Linked DNA regions of Caenorhabditis elegans. The protein of the gene in region 1 purifies or fractionates together with the protein of each later gene. This does not show direct contact. Each region holds a gene or a part of one and is shown on either strand. Other genes may lie near its edges.

Evidence for each region.
Region 2: the proteins of fem-3 (region 1) and tra-1 purify together in Caenorhabditis elegans (affinity purification with western blotting, with the first as the bait; one study listed by BioGRID). This does not show direct contact.

Annotation. Positions count from the first base shown.
Region 1 is NC_003282.8:9,103,200-9,108,352, forward strand, and holds fem-3 (Sex-determination protein fem-3), read left to right. Parts: upstream 1-1,766; 5' UTR 1,767-2,002; coding exon 2,003-2,073; intron 2,074-2,163; exon of another isoform or gene 2,164-2,171; coding exon 2,172-2,516; intron 2,517-2,561; coding exon 2,562-2,640; intron 2,641-3,011; coding exon 3,012-3,359; intron 3,360-3,441; coding exon 3,442-3,532; intron 3,533-3,912; coding exon 3,913-4,145; 3' UTR 4,146-4,408; downstream 4,409-5,153. Other genes in the region: C01F6.14 (Ovule protein), read right to left, coding at 698-922. UniProt on the Caenorhabditis elegans protein: Required for male development. In XO (male) animals, fem-3 directs male differentiation in all tissues. In XX (hermaphrodite) animals, it specifies the first 80 or so germ cells to be sperm. Negatively regulates male development when bound to tra-2.
Region 2 is NC_003281.10:11,192,132-11,196,971, forward strand, and holds the start of tra-1 (Sex-determining transformer protein 1), read right to left. Parts: upstream 3,071-4,840; 5' UTR 2,933-3,070; coding exon 2,912-2,932; intron 2,830-2,911; coding exon 2,734-2,829; intron 972-2,733; coding exon 911-971; intron 1-910. UniProt on the Caenorhabditis elegans protein: Plays a major role in controlling sexual phenotype. Terminal global regulator in a well-characterized cascade of sex-determining genes. Promotes female development. Interacts with tra-2 to promote spermatogenesis.

The DNA.
Region 1 (5,153 bases):
TGAGATTAGAGTTGTTTTCCCAAACCTCAGCGAGTTGAGCGCCGATAGCTATTCCCATGGAAGTTTCGCAGATGATATCAAGAGTACAAAGGGCGATAACGGAGAGAACATCAACTCTTTCACTGAAAATAAACATTTGAAATAAGTAATTATAAATTGAAATTCTCACTCTGCACCAAGGCAACACAATTTCTGAACCAAAATCTTCAATAAAAGAAAATCAAAAAAAGACGCCATTGTTCTTTCTGGCTCGTCAAAATACTGATTCCAAGCCATGGTTCAAGCAAAACGTATGCGAACCCTGTTCAGATGTTTCGTCGACGAGAAAATTGCTTCAACAAGGTCGCCAGAGTAGAGCATCAGGCATGGGAATGGACCAATCCACAGAAGACACATTCGTGGATCTGGATATAAATATCCCATTCCAATCACTTGGTTCATGAATCCCTCTGGATCTGGCTTGGTGATGAGTCCGTGACCGATGATTGGGTATGATCGTGGCTGATTGAGATGCTGAAAATTTATTGAAGTTATTCATAAATTTATTTTGAAATCAAACCTTCAAAGCTTGACGCATTCTCAAGTGTTTGTAGAGCAGCCAAGCGATCACCGTCGCCGAAGCCAGAAGTACAGCGAGGATGATAACCCCCATGCATATGATGAATAAAAAAATATTAAATAAAATAAATGTTTATTTTCATAAAAACTGGACAAATTTCATATATGGACTTATCGGAACAAAAAGAAAGAAATAATAATAAACCAAAAAATTTGAAAATCTATGATAAAACCTTTCAGATAACTTCTCCACAGTCGGTGATGACGCAAGCCTTGGAACCCTTCGTGTTTGATTTATTGAAGGCGATGCGGGAGACAACTTCGGTTCCAGCCAAAACTTTACCAAATGCCACGGTTTTTCCATTCATCGATTCATATGGAAGAATCGAGATGTTGAACAACGAGCTGTTATTGTCTTCTTTCAATCAATTTTCCTGAAAAAAAAAGCTGATTTCAGATGCGGATATTCATGAAATAAAAAAGCAGATGAATAAAAATAAATAAATTCCCATTTCAGTCTCTCAATTTAGAAATGCTGAAAAACTGACCATCGGCAATATTCCCGGATTTTGATGCATTTCAAGATACTTTTCATTTTTGAAATTCTTTTCGGCAAAAAACGTATGGGTCAAACATTAGCCAAATAAATATTCTGAAAAGTTAGTTTTTGATAGCATCTTTTAAGCTGGATTTTGTCAATTTATAAAACTTTTAGATGCCTAAACATCACTTACAAGATTGAAAGCCCAATGAAAAAAACTAATGTTCAAATGAGTTAGCAATGGAGCGCGTTTACGTTCTTTGCGCGAGCTTCGAATTTTTCTGCTTTTATTTTCAGAAAAAAACACTTTCTGAAGTTTTTCAGTTTTCCTTCAATTTGTTATATCTGGTTTCATGCATTTTTTAATCGTAAGAAAATTTCATATTCATTTTAGTTTATCGAAATAAGAATTACTGTTTTAAAAATTAAACAGAATTGAGAAAACCACAAACTAAGCGCCCTGTGTTATTTTTTAACCAAAATTTCTCAGATTTTAAAAGATATTCTGAATTGATGCGAAGTAATCGTGTTTCTCTAAATTATATTCTCAGTTATTCTAAAAATTCCCCTCCTCTTCTCACATGCTCTTTTCCTAATTCTCAATGCAATTTTTCACAATTTATATTATATTCACAACCAAAACTATATTACTAATCGAAAATTGCAGACGCTGTCCGAACAGTTGTAGGAGTGGTGTCGGGCGACGTCAACGTCTCGAAACAGAACCAGGACTGCGAACGCGGAGAATTTTGTCTGCACTCTCTCCGAAGAGAGTGCAGAGAAAACCAGAAACGGGTAGTAGACCACCCAGTCGGTTAACTACGGTGGATTGGAAGAAGTGACCAGCAAGAAATTTCAATGTAAAAATAAGAGAGATTTCCATTTATTTCAATTGTAACTGTAATGGAGGTGGATCCGGGTTCAGATGATGTAGAAGCTGACAGAGAAACGAGAGCTCAGAAACTAAAATTAAAGTAAGTTAAATTTTTTAATGTTTTTTTTTGTTGAAATTGTTTTAAATTCTTTAATTCACATCCAGTCAAACTAAAATGATCAAAAACTAGGTTTTCAGAAGAAATGTCAAATTCCGTGCACAAATGAGAAGATTCGACGAGTACTGTGGAGTGACTAATTTAACAGTAGATGATCTCAATTGGCCTTTAATATCTGGAATTCCTTTACAAAGACAACGATTGACAGGAGCTACGTATTATGATGATAGTCTTCTCGATCAAAATCCTTGGGATGAATTTTCAATTGATCGATTTCTTGAAATTACTTCAATTCAATTAATAACAGCCGGTGCTGGATATGAAAGGAATGATGAAATTACTCGATTCGTTTTTCAAAGAACAATGAAGACAATTGTAACTTATTGCAATTTTATGTATGATTTGGCAAGGCGGAACGGGAAAGTGTGAGGCGAATCTGAAATTTTATAAAATAAAATTTTAATTTTCAGTCAAATAACTCGATTCGAGTTGCAAGATTTGATTCATCGCGATGAATTTCGGTTTTACATGTATTTTCGACAATTTTTAGTGAGTTTCCTTGTTTTATCATAAATTAAAACAAGCTCTACTTACCCGATTTTTTTTTCGATTTTTGAACCAAAAAAGGGATATCCGACTCGACACGACAATTTTTAGTTAAATAAAAACGGGTGTGTGCCTTTAATAAGTACTGTAATTTTAAACTTTCGTCGCTGCGGAATTTTCTTAGTTTTTCGGAAAATTGTTTTAATTAAAAAACTAAAATTACGCAATTACCAAAAAAAAACAGGGATTTTAAGAAATCAGGAAAACATGTAAAAACCGGTGAAAATTTAACAAAAACAAAATCTTGAAATTCCAGTACTCTTCAACGGCGCATTTCCGTTTGTATTTTACTTTTTTTAAAATCCTAATTCCAGCCCAATCCGGATCCGAATTGTACGGCCTTTTCCAATCACTACACGTCTCTTCTTCATACACTCTATTTCAATATTCCGGGAATGCCACAGTTTTGGAACAATTCCCAAATGTATAATTACGCTGCTACCCGTGGTCAACGCCTTGTTCAAAATATCGCCGCTTTTTATCCACCCGAATATTTTTGGAACGAAGATGAATCCAAGTATCATACTACGTTTGTGGTTCCACGTGGCACAGAGTTCTCAAAGTTTTATGCTCGAAGATTTCATGAAGCACTTGGAATGCCACCACTGGAAAATGAGATTATTACGGTTTTGGATTGGCTTGCGAAGCTCTGCATTTTGGAAGTAAGCATTTTAAAAATGTTATTTATGTACTCATATATTAATTTAAAGCTTTTAAGCGTTAAAAACTATTTTACATTTGTAGATTGTATATCACACAACGATTTGGTGCGACATAACTGGATTTGGAGGGCTTCCACGTATTGAGCACTATCGTTTAGCCATGGAGAATGTTGGTAGGAATTTATTGTTAAAATAATTTAAAAGTATATACATGACATGTTTTTCAAAATATAAAACACAATTTTTTTAAAGCGAAACTTTAAAAAATCATCAAAAGTCGAATAGCGTAAAGGGAATTTTTGTTTTCATAGTCGCAAATTTCTAAATTCTACAACAGAAAGACAAAAAATCGACATAAAAAATCCATCGTTTGAAAACATGCTTTTTCGATTTTGGCATTTTTTTGTATTGAATTCAAACCCGGATGTTAGCAAAAATTTTTAAAAAATCACGTTTTCGGTATTACTAAATTCTCCACATTTAAAAAGAGTCCATTCTGAAACTTTTTCGATTAAAAAATTTCTTTCACAACTATGTTTTGTTCTAATTTCAGAAGACATCATATTCGACTTGGCAATTGATGATTTCTCAATTTCCCGTCTACAGTTACAAATTTCGCCGTTTGAAATCTCTCGCTACTCACCTCTAGATGTATCTGGTTATTATGAAACAATTAAAAGAAAAAAAGATATTGAAGAATATCAAAATCGTTTCTATGAAGTTCATTATTCTGATGATGTTCGGATTATGAATGTTTATGCTACTGATTGCTCCAGGAAACGATGATATCAATTGTTATAATGATTTGCTTTTAATTTTAATATTATTTCATTTGAAAGTCTAACTCTCTATATTTTACCCAGATTTCCTATTTAATATCACCGATTTGCCTTCTATCTCACTAACGCTTCTTGTGTCATTCACTTTCGAATCCTCTGGTTTACATTTTGAAAAATGTCATAATGGTACACTGCTAAAAAAAGCTGGTTCCATATCACTTTAATTTGTTTTAAGATTTGTTTAATTTAAAATAAAGGTATAGATAATATCGATTAAGCTGCTTACAATTGGTTAGACGCTACGCAAGTGCGCTCTGGTAGACAAACAATAGCATCTGTTGAGTGCGCAGTTGGTTTACACTCATTCAAATGTGTACGGGTGTGGCATTCGAAACATTTCGAATGAAACACTAAGAGTTCCAGTTGCTTTTACGAGTTTTTGTGTAATTTTCAGTTGATTTAACGTTTATTGCTCATTGCTAGAAGCCGAACTACAAAAAACCCACTATTTGGCAATTAGTCTACTACGACTCAATTGGTAAAATATTTCGAAAGTTATATTTTTCCAATATAACCATCAATTTCATAATGTAGCATCTTTCCTTCAATTTTTAATATTTTTTTGTCATTCTGAATAAAAAAGTACAAAAGTCATGCTGAAAAGGATACATATCGATACAATTCCACATGAATATAATTTGAATTTCTATTCAACTGATATACATTACACATATTCGCGTGTGCTAGAAAACTCGTATTTTCCCATTCGATACATCATCTGCCAACTTTCTTAACAATCCCAAGATCGTCACCCTTTCCTCCACAGCACCAGTCCCGCCTTTTTAACAACGATCTGTTTTTAATGGATGCTCGATCTATATGCATTAATTCATTCTATCATTCATTTACCGAGATGGTCATAACATATTTCATTTATTTATGGTTTTTTTTGCTTTTCCAATGTATTATAGTTATATGAAATTCTCTGTAGTTCTAAAGTAAGTCGCATTTTACC
Region 2 (4,840 bases), on another chromosome or scaffold:
TTTTCCGATTTGCCGGAAATGTTCAACTCTGCCAATTTCACCCGATTTGCCTGAAATCCTCAATTCCGCCAATTTGCCGGAAATTTCAACTTTCGGCAATTTTCCGATTTGCCGGAAATTCCAAATTCTGGCGATTTGCCGAATTGCCGGAAATTCCAAATTCTGGCGATTTGCCGAATTGCCGGAAATTCCAAATTCTGCCGATTTGCCGGAAATGTTCAACTCTGCCAATTTCACCCGATTTGCCTGAAATCCTCAATTCCGCAAATTTGCCGGAAATTTCAACTTTCGGCAATTTTCCGATTTGCCGGAAACTCCAAATTCTGGCGATTTGCCGAATTGCCGGAAATTCCAAATTCTGGCGATTTGCCGAATTGCCGGAAATTCCAAATTCTGCCAATTTGTCGATCTGCCGGAAATTTTAAATTCCGGCAACTTTCCAATTTGCAGGAAATTTCAATTTCCGATTTTCCGGAAATTTCAAATTTCAGCAACTCGCTGATTTGCCGGAAATTTTAAATTCCGGCAATTTTCCAATTTGCCGGAAATTTTTTAATTCGGTTTGCCGAGCCATTTTTGCCCAAAAATTACAAAAATTTTTGAAAAAAGGCGGTGTCTAGAGTCGAAAATCGCCCGTTTTTTTAAATTCAAAAATTTTTTCTAATAAATGTATATTTATAAATTGTGGAATTTTCTATTTTCTGTGGAATTTTTTGGTCTAAAACTGAATAATTTCTCTAGAAAAGCTGAAAACGGGTGGTCCATCCGACTCCATCGGGCGATTTTCAAAGAAAAAATGTGGGTGCAAATGCGCTCTAATGCGAATTTCTTCCGCATTTTTTTTCGTTAAAACTATTCAAATTGCCGCCGAATCGCGCGGTCATTCTCAACGGAGCGCGATTTCCCGTACCATTTTCGGTTTTCACGTCGCCACCACCAGGTTGTTTGTCCTCCGAACCCATTTGCTTGGCCTGGAAAATTGTAAAAATTGATTTAAAAAATTCATGAGAAAATCCAGAAAGGGCCCAAAATTTTAGGGAATTTCTAGATAAAATCCCCTAAAAAATGAGCTTCTGACTGAAAAAATCCATATTTTTTTGCATTTTCAGGGCGTGCTAAGACCCAAATTATACTTTTCTGACCTCCTCATCAACCGCGGCGGGGGTGTGCTCGGCGGTGCCAGTGTAAGAGCAAAAGTGCACGAGAACTTCAAAATAATATGTATGTATTTTTATCGGAATTCTCTGTCTCTCGAATTTTGGATAGAACAACTCCTTATCAGTCGAGCGGAAAAAAAAAACGACGTGGCAGGAGCAGCAACAGCGCCCAGCGAAAAAAAAGTAGTGGCGGAGCAGTGTTCGATGATCAGAGGAGCAGAAATATTCGGGCGGTCTAGACGAGGTAACGGTGGTGATATGAACCCGAAAAAGGAAATGAGAAACATGTAGAGCTGAGAAAATTGAGAAGAAGAAGAAGAAAAATATAAATTCTCACGGTTGGACAACCCAGAGACGAGAAAATCGACAAGTTTTTGGCGGGAAAATTTGGCGATTTTCGAGGGAAAATCGATTTTTATATTTTTACAAGTGCTGTAAGAGTGTCTCATTTCGGCTTGATCTACGTTGATCTACAAAAAATGCGGGAAAAGAGACGCACACTTTTAAACTGATTTTGCATGGTTAAGAACGTGTTATTTTTTTGGGCAAAAAATTCCCGCAATTTCGTAGATCAACAAAACGTGATGGGACAGTCTGGCACCACGTGTTTTTATAGGACCGCAGAAAAAAGGTCCGGGGTGCCGCCGAAAAAATGTTCAATTTTCGGTCTGTTTTTTTTTTGAGCAAAATGAGCAAAATTTGAAAAAAAAAACCGGCAGGCCTGATTCAGGGGTGCGGGGTACTTGCCGGAATTGCCGGAAATAATATTTTGGAAGTGTTTTTGAAATTAGACGCCTAGACATGCATTTTTTTGACCCGACTACAGAAAGCCCCATTTTTTTCAGATTTTTGTCGTTTTTCCTGGGTTTTTTAAAGGAATTTCTAGGAATTTCTCTTCCCCGGAGCCTGAGCCTAGGCCTAAGCCTATGCTAAAGCCTAAGCCTAAGCCTAATCCGTCGCCTAAGCCTAAGCCTTAGGCTGAGACTAAGCCTCAGCTTAAGCCTATGTTTAAGCCTGAGCCTAAGCTTAAGGTTAAGCTTAAACCTATGCCTAAAAGCCTAATCCTGAATCTAAGTTTAAGCCTAAAAGCCCAAGCCTAAGCCTAAGCCTAAGCCTGAGCTTAAGCATAAGCCTAAGCCTAATTATAAGCCTAAAAGCCTAAGCCTAAAACTGCGATTTTCAAGCTCAACATGTTGTCAAACTCGAATTTTTAAAATTTTTAAGTTTGAATTTAATTCTTTAATTCTGATTTAATTCTGAATAAGGCTAAATTTTTAAAATACAGTTAGGTTTGAAAAAAAAGCTTAAAAAGTGGGAAAATCAACAAAAAATTGAAATTTCGGACGTTTTCAGTTCAATTTTAAGCGAATTTCGGTGAATTTTTCCGGAAAACCACTCCTGGTACGTGAAAATTCGATTTTTCTCAAATTTTTGTGATAAATCTGCTTTTTCGAAAAGTTTTTGTCTGAAAAATGTGCATTTTTCCAAAAATCTACGAATTTTGCGGTAGAGATACCGGGATTTCGCTAGAAATGTTCGATTTTTATGGATTTTTTTTTCAGCTTCACAAACTTACACACTGATCGACAAGCTCCACCTTATTCCACCCATTTGCATTCTTTTTCTTCGAGAAGCTTCCACGACGTTGAGCCTCGACAACCGTATCGGGATCCTGGAGAGAATTGATTTTTAACGAATTTTTAATGTGAAAATTGTAAAAATTAGTTTTTTAATTCAAAATTCCTCGAATTAACCTCAGTACTGGGGGCCATCATGCCGCCGTTTTCGTTGTTTTTGATTTCCTGTTGAATTTGGAGAGTTGCGTTGAAAATTGCTTGACGCGGGGGCTCTTGATGCTCCAAATAGTGTTGATTATTTAGAAGATGACGTGGCGAGCCTCCTGGCACATTCTCTGCAAAAAAAATCAATAGATTTGAAGGATATTAGGCAGAAAAATGAGAAGAAAATCTTTAAATTTAAATTTAAAATTCAAAGAATAGAGTTCGTGGTGAGACCCATCGCAAGAATTACTGCATGTTCCTTTAAAACTACAGTAAGGCTCGATTAATTTTAAAAACTTTTTGAATGAGAATTCGCCAATTTTTCAGTGAAAATCAGTAAAAAATTGGGAACTGTTAAATATAAAAATACATGACTTTTTCAATTTGAAAGTTTGGAGCCAAAAATTTTCAAATAACGGCGCAGAGAAATTAATTGTCGGGTGGGTCTCGGCACGATCGTGGTGAGACCCGCTAAAAACATGGAGAACAAATATTTTGAGTTTTCCAGAAAAAACAACGACAAAAAAGGAGTCAAGGCTTGGGTGGTTTTTTTTTTTGAAAAACCGTGCACAATTTTCAGTACTCGACTGATAGCACATATACATAGGAGAGAAGAACATCTAACCCCCTTGGCGATGCGAAAATAGCATACGAGACAGAGAGACGCCGTACATTGGTGGCGTAACTGATAAAAAACTGATAATAAGTCTCAAAACCACCGCGGGCACTAGGCGCCAGCGCCGAGAAAAAGTAAGAAAAAAATAAAAATGTTGAGAAGAGGGGGAATAGTACTGTATCTATAGCCACCGGTCTTTTTTTTTGGAATTTTTTCGTTTTCGCGAACGGAAATTCGCAAAAAAAGGGAAATTGAAAAAGTAACCAGTGAAAGTGATTGGGAGGATGATATATATTGATAAGGGAGACCGGTGGAACGTGAGAATTTTGAATTCCCGCGCTGGACTACGGTAGGAAGGCGAAATTGGGATTTTTTGAAAAACTCTGGAATTTTCGAGTAAATTTCGTCTAAAAATGGAAAAAAATGTTGCGAAAATATTCTAAATTTTCTTTGAGGCGACTGTAGTTTTTTTTATTATTCGCCAAATTTTGAAATTTAATGCAAAAAGGTGTGCGCCTTTAAAGAATACGGTAGTTTCATTTTTTTTTGGAGTTTTTTTTTTGCCCAGTGTTTATTGTTAGTTTTTAAATAAATAAATAATACATTTTCAAAAATTGATAATAAATACCGGAACAACGAAAGTTTCAAAGTACAGTAATTCTTAAAGGCGCAAAACCTTTTGGCATTCAAGAAAAAAATTTTCGTGCCAAGACCGAGTACCGTATTTCTCGCGGAAAAAAATCGCTAATAATCGCGTTTGTGTGATATTTTTCCGCTTTTAACATTCAAATCAGGTGTGGGCGGAAAACAATTTTTTATCGGCAAACGGCCAATTGGCATTTTGCAAAATGAAAATTCCGGCAAATCGGCAAACCGGCAATTTTTTCGATTTGCCGGAAATTTTTTGAGCAAATTCTATGAAAATATCTAAAGAAAACGGGGAAAAACTTCAAAAAGGCACAGTTTTAAGAGTTTCCGGCAAATTGATATCCGGCAAATCGGCAATTGCCGGATATGAGAAATTCCTGCAAATCGGCAATTTTTTCGATTTGCCGGAAATTTTTTGAAAATTGTAAGCAAACTCTATGAAAATATCTAAAGAAAACGGGAAAAAAATTCAAAAAGGCACAGTCTTACGAGTTTCCGTCTTATAAAAAATCTGTCTAAAAATTTTCGGCAAATTGATATCCGGCAAACGGCAAATCGGCAATTTGGAGAAATTGAAAATTTCCGGCAAATCGGCAAGGTTTGCCGATTTGCCGTTTCCGAACGGCAATTAGTTTTTT